Linked DNA regions of Lonchura striata. The protein of the gene in region 1 purifies or fractionates together with the protein of each later gene. This does not show direct contact. Links are inferred from orthologs where the notes say so. Each region holds a gene or a part of one and is shown on either strand. Other genes may lie near its edges.

Region 1 (6,955 bases):
AAAAGCCCTTAAAGCTGTGTAAATACTATGATCAGGCCCAGATGCAGCTGATATCGAAAGCATTTATTGTAAGTATGCAAAGTGCTGACTGTATTTCCAAGAGGATGCACATAAGGTGACTCCTGTGTTGCACCATAGCTGCCTCAGAGAAGGACAAATCCAGCAGTAGGTACACGAAGGAACAGAACAATTATCGCTTCACATTCAAGTGCTGGCATGGAGGAAAGTTACTATTCAAACCTACAAATGCAAATAAAATCTGAACATGCTCCGTATTCTTCACTTTAAGACAAATAGAAGTTTAGTCTTCACCATGCATTATTAAAGAAAGAACTAAGGAGTTTAAAGGAAGCATAGGAATATAGAAAGCAGAAAATTTAAGTGGCTGTCTATGAGGGAGTGGGACAATGGGGAGAACTTATACACAAAGTTGTAAATCCCAAACCATGAAACAAAAAAACAGCCACCAGAGACCAAGACTGGGGAGGCAGAGGTTAGAGCCTCAAAGGCCAGATTCTAACAATTTAGAAAAAGGAGGGAAAAATTCAAAATTTGAGAAGCCATGCAGATTCATATAGTGAAATACTGAGTTTCATAACTCACAGATGTTACTCTTAATTGGAAAGTTTGTATCATCTTACTTCTCTTCAACAAACTGGAACCCTGTTTATGCAATGAATGGATAGAAATGGTGTAGGAACACATTATATTGAAAGGCACTTCAACACACATATATTTTTAATTAGCAATTAAAAATCTGATCAGCTGAGCATGTCACATTTCTTGTGTATTTTATTCTGAAAACTCACTATTCATAGAGACATTTCATACCAACAATGTGTAAAGGATACAGCCCTAAACGTGTTCCCACGTCGAATATGAATCTGGCCCCTTCCCTGCGGTATCGTGCCTCTGTAGCTGGATCAAGCCCTTCAAGCTGTGATGGTGTGTGTGCCAAATCTTTCTTATCCCAGTACCAGCATGGCTTTGTATGGTCCAGGTTTGCCAAGTTCACAGAAGGGCTGGAATTTTCTTTATTCTCCTTCATTTATTAAAACAGAATTGTCTCTGCTTTTTAAATTTTCAAAAACGAAGTCTTCAGAGAGTCACTTCAGGACCTTGAAGAAAACAAAAAAGGAATTCTTTAAAAATAGAGAGAACTACCTTCTGAAGTTCCTCCTCAAAGAGGAGTAAAAAAAGAATAGTGCTTAGCCTTGCCTGTTGGAAAGAACTTGTTCCTATGCTCAAAGACAAGTAATAAAGAACTTTGCCTTTATCCTCTCCATATTTTGCAAATACAATCAGAAAAAGTAATAGGTTATCCTTGCTGTTACCTGTTTAATAAGGAAACTTCAAGAATAGATCTCCAACAATATTGCTATTTCTTAGTAGAACAACTACCATCTACTTTGTCCGTAAAACTAGGAAAAAACAATTCAGTGACGGCTGCAGAAAGATGTGGAAAGTTAGGGCGATTAGATGACTATTGGTAATTAGGAAAGGCACCGGTGAGGCGAGCCTGAACGGCCTCTTAAATACCTGCCTGCTCCCAGGGATATTGCGGGCAGCAACCACTTGGCAGAAGCTTTGTAAAGTGATCTGTACTTTTACTACTTAAAGAAAAAAAGTGTGTCAGTGTTCTTTCACATACCTAGATTAAGACAACGTGAGTTTATAGAGCAAGGCAGCATTTAAAATCATCCCCCAAACAAGGCAACCAAATACACCCCAAGAGTCTCCTACTTGCCCCTGTTTACCAGCACTTTGTGTACACAGATGCAGATCACAAAGTTCTGCAGGCACCTTTTTGGTGATTGAATTATGACAGACGTTCAGCCATGCCTCAGCTTAAAGAGTGCTTTTTTTTTCTTACAGGCACAAAACTGCTCTTACTCCAACTCAACTAACTACAGATACTATTCCCAGATTACTGCAGTCACCTGCAAAGGTTTGCATAACAGACAGACATTAATATATGATGCAATATATTCGCTCTAAGCAAGACAGTCACAGTAAGACCCAAACTTAAAACTCTTAAAATCAGTTATTACTTATCGAGACGTTTCCCTTCCGAAAACGGAAGGAAGATCCCGTGAACAGCCACAGAACGATGCCTACAATCAGCACCTCGCTCACCTTCAAAAAGTCTCTTTTTCAGAATAAACGAAACTGTCTTTGCCTCACGGTGGTTTTGGAATCACCTTCACAACTCGTGGTATCGGTCACAGACAGATCTAAATTCTGGCACAAGAAAAAGTAAATGGCTACTAAAAACTATTTCCAGACTCAACGAAAGCGCGCCAGGCCACAAGCACACATTCTCATCATATTTACTAGAAAGCTGCTTTTATAACTGCAACGACCCTTCTTCCTTACCAGATATTTTACTTTCTAACTTCTAAAGCGTTTAAAAATCAGTTAACACTAAAAGCGCCTGAAGCGGTAAGATCTTTTTCTATAAAAGCCCAAACGCATTTCCGAATACGGAACCAGGAATGAAAATTATCACCCGCAAGCACCTTAAATGAACCATGTTAAACGTCCCAATCCAGAGACCGCAACGCCCGGAAATAATAACTTTTCCCTGCCTTTTTAAGCACCCCATGAAACTGGAGAAGAACTCCAGAGCTCGATCGCGGCTTTTTCATACCTTACCCGAGACGAACGCACCGACCACAGCTCCGCCCCCGCTGCCCCAACGCGGCCGGGGATGCTCACACCGCCTCAGACCCACCCGCCCGCCCTACACGGGGCTGCCGGTGCCCGGGGAGGCGCTCGCTCCCTACCCCCGGCCTCCGCGCTCCCTTCCCCCGTTCCCCAGGCGGCGGCGGTGGCCGGCGGGCGGCCCGGGCGGGCCCCGCGCACTCACAGGGCTGCGGCAGCGGGAGCGCACCGGAGCGCGGGGCCCTCAGCGACAGCGCGGCCTGCGCGCCGCCATCTTGGGAGCCAGGCCAGGCCGCGCGTGCGCCATCACGTCGCAAGGGCGCAGCGCGCGAGCACGGCGGCCCCGCCAATGGGAAGCGGCGGCGCTCCCGCTACCTCCCGCCCAAATGCCCGCTCCGTCAGCCGCTGCTGGGCCGGGCTGCCGTACCCTGGGGGCGGACCAATCGGAACGGTAAAGGGGAAGATTGCGAGCGCAGGGACCAATAGAAACCTGAAGGCGGGCCAGCAGGGATTGAATGACAGCCAATGGGAGCGCTGCTCTGCCTGAGGGAGGGGCGGGGCCTGCTGGCGGGCGGCAGCTCGGCCAATGGCGGCAGGGCGCGCAGAGGGGGCGGGGGCGGGCGGAGCTCCGCCTCCCCACCGCGGGCAGCGGCGGCGGCGCGGGCTCGGGAGCGCCGCTCGCTCGGGCCAGGCGGGAGCGGTCGTGCCGGGAGGTAAGGCGGGGCCGCCGCGCCCCCTCCCCTGCTGCAGCACGGGCCCTTCCTCTCGACCCTCCGGGCGGCGCGAGCTCGCCCCGCTCCGCCGCCTCCTCCTTCCCCGGAGGAGGCGCCGCTCTTTCCGGACACCCCCTCCCGCCGGGCCTCGCCGCCCCTGCCTTGCCCCGCGTGGCCGGTGCGGGGCCAGTCCGGGCCTCCTTCCCCTGCGAGCCGCAGCCTCCGCCAGGCTCGGCCCGGCCTTTCCCTCTCCCGGCGCGTCCCCCGGGGCCGCCTGGGGCGGGCCGGGCTCGCTCCAGCCCGGCCTGCGCGGGTCTCCAGTGAGCGAGGCGGCGGCACCGGCGTTTTGCCTTGCCCCATCCCCCCTCCAGACCCTGATAGAAACGAGAGTAAAGCAAATGGCTTAAAACTGCTTTCCTCGTGATGTAATTAGATTTTTATTTTTTTTAATATGTGATACGGTTTGAATCCTCCCTGCTCCTACTTCATTTTCCCATGCCCCAGCTCCCGGGGTCTGGCTCAGGGGCGTCTCTGCGGGTGTGTGGCTCCTCTGAGCCCTCCTCTGGCTGGAGAAGAGTGCTCTGGTTTCTTTCCTTTCTCACCCCGTCTGCAGCCTGCTGAAGCAGAGTTAAATCTTTGGAAGAAAAAGAGAGAGAGGAGTTAAAATTAGAATAAATCGTAAATGTTTATTGACAGGGGTGTTACTCCTGAAACAGCCTCGGTATTTCAGCCTTCCCCTATTGCTACAGCAGCTGCCTGTCCCGTGAACCCTTCTTCTTCTTTCTTACCCAGCAACACTTCATTAGAGTTGCTTGAGCTGAGGCTGTGCTTTGCCTTCAGTTCTTAGCAAATTCCTAAATTTTTTTACCCTACATTCAGCTATCAGAATAACCTCAGTTTTGGAAGTTGTCCCTCATGGTTCAAAGCTGCTCTTGCCCCAAGCTTGGTATCTGCTCTTCTAGATGGGCTTGTCTTTGGAACCTAAACTGGCTCCTGAGATCAAGCTGAAAGTAGATTGTCTTTGTCCCTTCTAAGAGCATGTAATGAAGGCACCTGTACATTCAAGTGACAGCTTTGTTCTCTGAAAATTGCTACAATGTTAGCTTAATGTCTGGCAAGTGCTTTCTGCTTTCAGTTGTTGTAATCCCATAGGTGAGTAGAAAACAACTGTGGCATTCTGTATGTCCACTATCAGGTTCCTGGTACAAAATAGTAAGCCAGTGTACAAGTTGTGGGAAGGAAAGGCATGATGGACTCAAAGGCGGGGGTGGCTTCCTGATATTTTTGCTCAATTAAGTAACTTAATATGGTAGAGATTCAAGCATGCTGGCTTGTGCCTTAGTAGTTTTCAGTTATGTTTAGCAGGGATTGAAGTATACACTGCAGTAGAGTTGAAAACACATTTTTGATGTTGTGTGCTGAGAAATAGATTTAGGCTGTTGGGGGAAGAAATGCCACAAACTCCAAAATAGTTTGTAATCTGTATATCGCTATTTCCAGAGATGGCCTGATCTGTTGCTGAAGTCAGACATGCCTTGAAATAGAATTCTGATTTCAGTATGGTACAGAAATCAAAAATAGGCTGTTTTATGCCTCTCTGTATGGAAAAGTGTACATCTTGATGATGTTTTAATTATAATAAATTTATTTTGACATATCTACTGTATCTATGTAATTCTTGGTCATAGTGGTGCTGGTTATGTAGTTAATTTGATAAACTGTGTACTTCTCAGCAAGTGAGTATTTCAGTGGTTCCTCTTTCAAAAAAAAAAAACAACCAAAAAGAGGTACTTTAAGAGTACTGGAAGTCTTAAGGGATCTGTATCTTTTCTAGTGGGCTGTCATAGGGCTCAGTGCATGAGACCTCATGATGCCTGTGGCTTAAGCTTTTGGAGGCCTGGGTGGTTCTGTTAAGTCTGCCTTACTGATGGCTGAAGTCAGGGTGGCTTGCTTTACTCTCAGTTAGGAGTTATATTATATAAAGTGAGGTTAATATTTTCTAAATTAAGAACATTATTTAGGAACATGCGGGTAAAGACAGTACATAAGGGTTTTTAATTAATTCTGCTCTAAAGGAATTAGGAAAAGAAGTTTGTGGGAGTCTTCAGGAGGAGCAAAATTCAGGCAAAGAAATAAAATTACAAAAGTGGGTTGGTAAATTGGTAGAGTTTATCAGCTTATTTTCTTTAAAGAGTAAGTTTGTTTTTTTTTTTTCTGGTCAAATAGCTGTCTGAGGATCTGATTCAAGAGACAGACAAAGGAGTTAAGAGCTTGTTTCCTGTGGATAGATAACTATCTTCCCTAGAAAGATCAGGCAGGTGTTGATAGTAAGAATTACTTCATCTGCTTAAGAAAGCTTTAATGGAAGGCCAAGGGGTATAGGGACAAACCTGTGGTAAATAATGTAATAGTTCCAAATTAGCAAGCTGATAAAAGTGAATTAAGAAATACATACTTTTTTGAGCTGTTCTGTTGGATATGGACTTTTTTTTTTGCCCTTCAGCATTTTGTGCTACCTTCAAATTAATAATTTCTTACCAGAAGTTTATATTTAATGCATGAGGCAGTCTTGTGCTTAGTATGTAGCTAGGTTCAACTGGGTGGGGAGGGAGATAATGTCAAAATGACAGGACTTCCTTTTTTAGTAGATTAGTGCTACCTCAAGCATTTGTAATCGGAATACTATCAAGGCATGTTTTCTTTGATTCTAAGAATAAACATCTTTTGGAATTTGATTCCCAATACTTAGCTAAATTTGTTGTACTTGGTGGTTTTTTAAGTGTATCAAGTAAATATTTAGCTAACTTTAGTGGCTTCTTTTGATATTATTCTGTAGATTGGCTTCTTCCCAGTATCACAGTCACCACTATCACCATTGTTCTTTCCTTAACCTTACACTGTAATGGGATTAGCAGTTTGTTCTTTGCAGAGTAGATGTGTGCAGTGCATACAGCAGTGGTTCAGTCTTTCCTCTTTTCCAAATGCTTTAGGCTTGTGCTTGTGGTTGACACACCTGTGGTGGTACAGCTTTCTATAGTAAAGGGAATCATTTGATTCTGACCGTCCTTTGCCAAAGAACTTGTTGGAGACACTTCAGATTCCTAGATTTCGCTTTAGGTGACTAATAGTGTTTTTAACTTAGGCTGTTATGTAAAATATGAGAAAGAATGTCTCAAAACTAAAAGTACTGCAGGAGTACTTCATTGCTCCATAAAAATGGTCCATTAGTGTTGTCTGGTCTTAGTCGTGTGTATTTGGAGCTAGGCTTGTGTTTGTAGCAGTTAAGAGGTGACTTCATGCCCAAGTGTATTTTAATATTGCTTTGCATTTTTGGTCTTGCCCTTCCTCTGCTTTAACCTTCTTTGCTCCCTTTTTCTGTTTTTAGCTGCTCTGCCCTACATTGCCTCTTGATTGCTTCTCTTCTAACAAATGACTATTCCAGTTGCTCCATCTATCCTTGCCCTTCCTTTACCACTTCCCATCCTGTTCAGGTAGTCTGTTAATCCTTTTCCTTTCTTTGAAATAAGGAAGAATTAGAGCTGTATTCTTTCATTTCAGCTCTGGGTTCTGTGACCAGG
Region 2 (7,649 bases), on another chromosome or scaffold:
AAGAGAGAGGAGTAAGTTATCAAGCCAGAGAGTTGGGTACAAGCTGAATGTAAACAGTGAGCAACCTTTGGAACTCATCTGGTTTGGGGTCCAGCATTTAAGTCGGAGATGTCCTTAGAAAGTTGCTCTGAAAGTTTAGGGAAGCAGCACAAAGTGCTCTGAAGTTGCTCCCATAAATCAGGGAAATGGAACTGCTGGAATTCTCTACTCTGAATTCTCTACTCAGCCACTTACACAGAGAGGTTCTCCTGGGGAGAAAACTCTTAGGATTGCTCTGCAGCTCCCAGTGGCTTCTCCCTGCTCAGGGCTGGACATTTCCTCAGCGCCACAACTCCGAGTTGTATCAGTGAACTGACACCTTGCACCTTCCTCACCCTTCCAAAGGGTGAGCAAATAACGTGTCAGAGTAGCACCACCAGGCAAAAAGGACTGAAGGGAAGGAGCAGAAAACTACCCAGGCCTATCCCTGAGAACCTCCCAGGTGTACACAGAGAAAACAGGCCAGAGGAGGAGCAGCCTGGAGGAAATTTTCACTGTAAAAATCACAGTGGAATACAGAGATTTTACGTCAGAGCTTCCAGGGGGGTTGAAACCAAGACAGAACTGCCAGCAAGGACAAAGGCGAGCTCTCCATGGAAGACAGCACTCCTGAAGTTCAGAGCTGCAGTAACAAAGACCAAATTCCAAAAGCCCCGTGTGCTTTGGGAACTGCTGAGCTGCAGGATGCAGCACAGCAACCAGGGAGCAGAGCATTCCTATGGCCATTGCATTCCAGGTCACATCTGAATTGCCATGGAGCTCCAAGCAAAGCTCCACAGCATCCATGGAGACAACTGGAAACTCACTGAACGTTAAGCCAGGGCTAGAGAAAGAAAAGATCAACATTAGACTATGTCACAGGATGATTAATGAACACCTGAAATAAAACGCACAGAGCTACCTTGAAATAATTGTTTCCTTCTGGAGCAAAGTTACTGAGTAAAAGGGGAGAGAAAATTAGAGATAAGCCAAAATCCAGCTGGTTGCTCCTCGCCCTTCCAGCCTGCCCACATTTCAGAAGGGAAGAAACTCTAGTGCTGAGAAAAGAAAGTTTAGGCTGAGAGATGGAGTTTGCACGTGGCTGCCTCTAATCCAAGGGGAAAGAAAAGACAAACCAGTTCAGGAAGAGCAAAATCCACCCCAAACGAGCCCTCCTGAAAAGCAGGATCACGCTCCCACACGCAGTAAACAGATAAAGGCTTCCAGAAATAGGTGAAAACATTCCCCGTGGCTGAAGTTCCCAGCAGGTAAGCGCCTTAGATCCTGCTCCGGGAGCCTCCCCACGAAGGGGCCACTCCAGAGGTGGGTGTAACTTAATCCCAGCAGCTCCTCCAGCCTCCCTCCCTGCCCGCAGCCAACATGGACGCTGCCTCCCGCCAGGCACAGAGGCGGTTCCCAAAGTGTCAGCCCCATTTCCAAAGGGAACGGTCAAAGCTCCCAGCCAAAGCCAACTCCACACACGGCACTGGGCAGCAATGGGGAGGAATCACGGAATCACGGAGTGGTTTGGGTTGGAAAACGCCCTGAAGAGCATCCCATGGGTAGGAACACCTTCCTCTAGCCCAGCTTGCTCCAAGCCCTATCCAACCTTGGACAACACCATGGATGGAGCATCCACAACTTCCTCAGGCAAGCGCAGCAGGGAACAATTTTTTCCCCAATATCCCACCTTAAACCCACCCTCCATCAACCTGAACCCATCCCCCCCTGTATCCCATCACTCCAAACTCTCCCGAACTCCCTCCCAGCTCCCGGGGCGAGGCGGGGCACACGCACCTGGCGATGGGGCTGCGGCTGACGGAGCGCTTGGAGGCGAAGGGGCTGCTGGAGCGGCGGCGCCCGTAGGGGCTCGGGGACCTCCCGCTGTAGGAGCCGCTGCCCCGCTCGTAGCTGGACGAGCGCCTCCGGCCGTAGGGGCTCACGGATCGCTGCCGCCGGCTGTAAGGGCTGGGCGAGCGGGCGTTGGACTGGTAACCCACGGGCTCCTTGTAGGGCGGGCTGAGGGATTGGCGGCGTGAGGATCCGCCGGGGCTTTTCCTGTAGGGATCGTAGGTGCTGGAGGTGTGCGAGCGGGGCGGGCTGAGGTCGTATTCCTGCACGTAGGAAGCTCCCGAAGGGCTGTCGTCCAGTTTTGGGCTGTCCGACCATTTCCTGTGAGGGCTCCTGGATTTCCTCTTGGGGCTGTCGATGGTTTTGTAACTTTTGGGAGCATCCCTTTTGCGATGGCTTTTGCTGCGCTCTTTGTGGCTGGACTTGAGCTCCCGCTCCTTCCTGGATTTCTCCTTGTGCGCCTTGGCCGAGCGCGATTCCTTGTTGCTGCTCTTGGAGGAGGAGAGCGCCTTGGGGTGCTCCTCGCTCTCCAGGAGCCTCTTGGAGGATCCCGAGATCCTCTCCTTGGCGGACCTGCTGGAAGCATCCAGGCTCTTTTCCAACTTCCTGTCCTTCTCCGCCTGTTTGCTCTTCATCAGCTCCCGGAGCCGCTTGTGCTGGTGGTGCCGGTGCTTCTGGGCCCTCTCGCTCCTCTCCGCCCTCCTCTCGTCGTTGTCCCTCCTGTCCAGCTTGAGGCCCACATCGTCCGAGAAGGTGTCCGAGTCCGAGCTGATGTCATCGTACTCCACCAGCGGCTTGATCACCGCTCCCAGGGGCGCCGCCGCTTCCTGGGCCGCCAGCGGGGACTCCTTGGAGTGCCTGGACTTGTGCCTCTTGTGCCTGGAGCCCGCCCGGTGCCTCTCCTTGCTGTTGGAGCCGCCGCCGCCCGGCTGCGAGCACGCCCCGCCGCCGTCCTTCTTGCCCCCATGCCTCTCCGGGTTTGGCATTCCTCCCCCGCTGCGCTCGGGAACGGCGAGGGGCGGACTCGGCGGAAACCCCCAACTTCAAACTCCCTCCGCGCCCGCCCCTCGCACCATCCACGCCGGCCTCGCTGCTCCCTCCTCACACGGGGAGCGGGGCCCGAGCCCCGGAGGCGGCGGGAGGGACGGGCCGGGGCGGGGGGGGGGGAAGGAGCCGGGAGGGGAGGGGGAAGCGCCGCGGCCTCACCGCCTCATCCGAGGGGGGCCCAGGCCCGGCGGGCAGCGCGGCCGCCCCGGGAAGGCGGGGCCCGGAGCGCTGCCCGCGGCCTCAGCGGCGGTGGCGGGGCCTGGGCGCGGATCCCCGGCCGAAGGGGCCCCGGAGCCGCCGCCGCCCCCGGCGCGGCCCCCGCGCTCTGCCCGAACCGGAGCGGCGCCGTCCGGGGGGCGCCGCCAACTCTCGCGAGACCCGCCCGCAACTCTCGCGACAACTCCGCCGCCGCCACCCCTCCCTCCTTCCCTCCCCGGCGAGTCCTCCTCGTCCGCGAGTCCTCTCGGGGGATGGGCGGGGCCCGCGCGCTCGTCCTCTCGCGAGAGCCGCCAAATCGCGCGGCGGCTCCTTCCCAGCGAACTTTAATCGGGGCGCGGGGCGGGGACAGCGCCCCCTAGCGCCCGGCCCGCAACAAAGCTCCCATGGCGGCGGCGCCGCCGCTTCCGCCCCGCCCTTTCCCGCCGCTCTCCCGCTCCGCCGCGCCGCGCCCTAAAGCCGCCGGCGGGTGGCTGCCGAGCCCTCCCCGGCGCACCGCCGGCTAACGAGCGGTTAATGCTCCGTTAGGGGCTGCGGAGCGGCCGCCGCGCTTCCAGGGCGCTGAGGGGGCGGGGCGCGCTGGCCGCCGAGCCCCGCCCCGCTCCCGCGGAGTCTCGCGAGAGCGCGGGAGCGCGGCCGCGGGCGCAGCGATGGCGGCGGCCGCCGCCGTGTGAGGGCGAGGGCGGCCCGGCCGCCGCCGCCGCTCCCGCTCCCTCTCCGCTCCCTCTCTCCAGTCCAGACCAGCCCCGCGTTTGCAATATGAAGGCCGCGCCCGGCAGCGCCGAGGGTGAGTGCGGCGCGAGGGGCGCGGGGGTTCCCGGTTCTCCGTGAGGGAAGGAGGGCGGCCCGGCGGATCCGAGGCTCCGCATTCGGGTTGAGGTTGAGGTGGCGGCCCGGAAAGTGAAACGGGCGAGGGTCACAAAGGTGGTTTGAGGTGTGGGGAGTCTCTGTGCGGAGGTGGAGGGAGCTGGGCCTGGTTGCTGTGGAGGAGAGGAGGATGAGGATGCTATCAGTCCGGGCAGATATCGCTAGGGGCTGTCAGAGCCCTGTTCAGACTCTGCTCAGCGGCAGGACGAGGAGAAACGGCCGGAAAATAAAACACAGCAAGTTCCACCTCGGCATGACGAAGAGCTTCTTTCCAGGAGGGTGTCCAGGGAGGGTGAGTGGTCTCTGGGCACATTCCAGGTGACCCTGCCTGGCTGGGTGATCTGCAGAGATCCCTTCCAGCTCTCTCATGGGATTCTGGACAACTCAGTGTTGGTTGAGGAGGGGCTTGGACCAGGTGAGCTGCAGGGGTCCCTTCCCACCTGCAGCATCCTGTGTTGATGCAGCTGAGAGGTGTAAAGTGCCTGAAAACAAATCCCGGAGTAGCTGGGGTTGGAAGGGACCCCTGGAGATGATCCAGTTCAACCCCTCTGCCAAGGCAGGGTCAGCTGGAGCAGGGGACACAGGTGGGTTTGCAATGTGTGCAGAGCAGGAGGCTCCAGAACACCCAGCATTCATTCATTCCTTCCTTACACTTGGGTTTGGAGGGCTCAATGTGAGGTCTGTGGGCTAGCAGAGCATCAATCAGGAGCCCAAACTGTGGAATTTTGGCAGGTGGAAGTCACAGGCTCCTGTGAGGTGACACTAAAATGTCATGTCTGCACTGGACCCTCTGGGGCTGGGGACAGGGTTTATTCTGGAATGACGTCCACTGGGATGGTTTTTTTGACGTGAAAGTATGAAAAGCTCTGTCTCTTGGCAATAAAACACTGGATTTCAGTGTTCATGAGAACCATGTTCTCTTTATCACTCATCCACTGCTTCATCCCCCCCAGCACATGGAGCAGCACAAGGGGACAGCAGCCCTCAGCTTGGAGCTGATTGTGGAGCCATGGGATGTCCTGAGCTGGAAGGGACCCCCAGGACCATCAAAGCCCAGCTCCCATCCCTGCACAGGCACCCCAAAAATCCCACCCTGTCTCTGAGAGCAATGTCCAAACATTCCTGGGGCTCTGGGCTCTACAGGAATCATCAACCCAATTCCTGGCCCTGCACAGGCACCCCAAAAATCCCACCCTGTCTCTGAGAGTGATATCCAAACATTCCTGGAGCTCTGGCAGCCTCGGGGCTGTGCCCATTCCCTGGGGAGCTGTTCCAGTGCCTGAGCACCCTCTGGGAGGGGATAAAAATTCCCAAAATCCAGGAATCATCAGTCCAACTCCTGGCCCTGCACAGGCACCCCAAAAATCCCTGAGAGCGTTGTCCAAACCCTCCTGGAGCTCTTGGGGCTGTGCCCATTCCCAGGGGAACTGTTCCACTGCCTGAGCACCCTCTGAGGGGGGGAAAAAACTTCCCAAAATCCAACCTGAACCCCCCTGGCACAGCTCCAGCCGCTTCCCCATGTCCTGCTGTGGGGCAGGAACGTGTCTGAGCACAGAATTTGGCAGAACTGGCAGCTGGAATGACTTGGCTGAGGTTTTTGATGGTGGAAGGTGTTGAGGACCTTTCAAGAAGTTGGGGGAGAGAGACCAGAGAGGGGATCCAGGACACAAAACCCACCTCACTGCTTTAACCCCGTGTTTCCCACAGCCTCAGTTTCTGGGGATCCTCTCCTGACAGAACTGAACCTGCTGAGGCCACATCACTCAGGGATGGTGCAGAACAGGAGCTGAGCATTTTCCAGGAAAATCCATAAGATTTTCACAGTCCTTTAGTTTTAACAGCCTGGGAGATTCCGTAACACTTAACCTCACCTCAAGCTCTGGGGTTAAACCAGCAGTTAGCAAATTCTTTGAAGTCATTTTCAGCTTAAAGGTGGAAAGTTTTGTGTTGTTTAAGTGGTTTGCAGAACTTACCAAAGTTGGCTCACTGTGTTCCTGTGTGACAGAGGCAGAGAAGCTGAACAAGATGAGCTCCCTCCTGGAGAGGCTCCACGCCAAGTACAGCCAGAACCGGCCCTGGACAGAAACCATCAAGTTGGTCAGACAGGTCATGGTGAGCATTGCTGGGCTCTGAGCTGCAGCTCCTCTGCTGAAGGATTTCTCTTGGGTTTTTAGACCTTTTCCAGGTGTTTTTTGTTGTGTCCATGTGTCATGGTTTGATGCTGGTATCCCCGTGAAAATGCAGCTTCTTAATTGGATGCTGTGAAATGTGATTGAGAATAAAGCAGGCGAAGCTTAATAACAAAAAGGAAAAAAAAGCTTTATTAAGCTACTACTGCTATATTAGTATAAAAGAAAAAAAAGAAAAGCACACATAAAATTTGAAATTAAAACCTTTCAAAACATTCCTCTTCTTACTATCTAACTTTAATAAACTACAGTGACACACATTTGGACTCTTAATGAAGTATTTACCTTTTAATATATAATCAATACTGAGTCTAAGAGGGGACAGAGGAGTCTCCCTTGCACTACAGACCCCCAGGAAACACAGCTGCCACCTCTTGTGTTTCTGTGTCACACGTGGCACTGCCTGGAGAGAATCTGCCAGTGTGACACTCCTCTTTTTGTCACTGTGCTCTCACCACCGTGCATGGACAGAGACTGCTCATTGGGCTCCTTTGAGGATGCTTTGCCAAGGACCAAGAGGAACAACAGTCTAGTGTTTAATTTTGGGGCTACAGTCCCCCCCATTTTCCTCTAGAGCCTTTAACCCCTCTATATTAAGAGCATGTCTACTTTCAGTTGGTTATTCTAAGTGTCAATATTTACACCTGACCCCTGACTACATCAACTTCTTCCTGCTGAAAAGATTCTTTTTCTCATGTCAAACCACAGCACTGTGGCTTCACTCTCTCCTGAGTGGTGCAGGGGAGGGAGGGATGTCCAAACCTGCCCAGCCTGATGTGCCTTTCCGTTCCCTAATTAGTGTTCAGTGCCAGGGAAAGAGTAAAACCTATATTTCCTGCTATTTACCCTTCCAGGATATTGTTTTGTGGAACAGTTTGTTCAGTGACACTCAACACTCAGCCCTGGCTTAGTCAAAAATGGGTTTAAAATATTGGTGTGGCAGCAGGAGGCAGGGGAGAGCTACAACAAAACCTCCTGCCCACACTCATGTGTTAAAAGTTTGCCCAACTCTTTATTTTTCTGTCTCCTCTTCTAAAACTCTCAGCTTAGACCTATAAAAAGTTGCTACATTCTGTTCTTCCAGCTGGGCAAGTTGCTAAAAAGAAAATAAACTCAATTCCAGGCCTGCCTTTGTGATCTGCTTGCAAGCAGATTACTGCTCACCTAGAGGAATCAAAATGTTGTAATTTGGGGGTGAAATCTAATCTGCTTTTAATTATCAAAATAAACCTCGCTTAGCTGTTCAAAAGTTGCCATAATTCCCTCCTACTGAGGGACAAGGAAAAATGATGTTTTTTTTTTCTTCTGCCTGCCCAAGGAAAAGCGTGTGGTGCTGAACTCGGGGGGACACCAGCACCTGGTGAGCTGCTTGGAGACACTGCAGAAGGCCCTGAAAGGTTGGTGTGTTGTCTCCACAGGGTGGAAAATCCTCTGGAAATGCTCCATAAAAAGCACACAGGG

Evidence for each region. The genes of interacting proteins can lie anywhere in the genome.
Region 2: the proteins of CCNK (region 1) and CDK12 purify together in Homo sapiens (affinity purification with mass spectrometry; 6 studies listed by BioGRID and IntAct, with this or other methods). This does not show direct contact. The link is inferred for Lonchura striata from reciprocal best matches to the Homo sapiens genes CCNK and CDK12.

The regions. Positions count from the first base shown.
Region 1 is NC_134608.1:12,582,848-12,589,802, forward strand, and holds the start of CCNK (cyclin-K), read right to left. Parts: upstream 3,002-6,955; 5' UTR 2,870-3,001; exon of another isoform or gene 2,787-2,869; intron 2,736-2,786; exon of another isoform or gene 2,601-2,735; intron 2,242-2,600; 5' UTR 2,137-2,241; intron 1,119-2,136; 5' UTR 1,049-1,118; coding exon 852-1,048; intron 1-851. UniProt on the Homo sapiens protein: Regulatory subunit of cyclin-dependent kinases that mediates activation of target kinases.
Region 2 is NC_134627.1:7,131,091-7,138,739, reverse strand, and holds the start of CDK12 (cyclin-dependent kinase 12), read right to left. Parts: upstream 3,021-7,649; 5' UTR 2,856-3,020; coding exon 1,816-2,855; intron 1-1,815. Other genes in the region: MED1 (mediator of RNA polymerase II transcription subunit 1), read left to right, coding at 4,367-4,583, 6,005-6,111, 7,507-7,585. UniProt on the Homo sapiens protein: Cyclin-dependent kinase that phosphorylates the C-terminal domain (CTD) of the large subunit of RNA polymerase II (POLR2A), thereby acting as a key regulator of transcription elongation.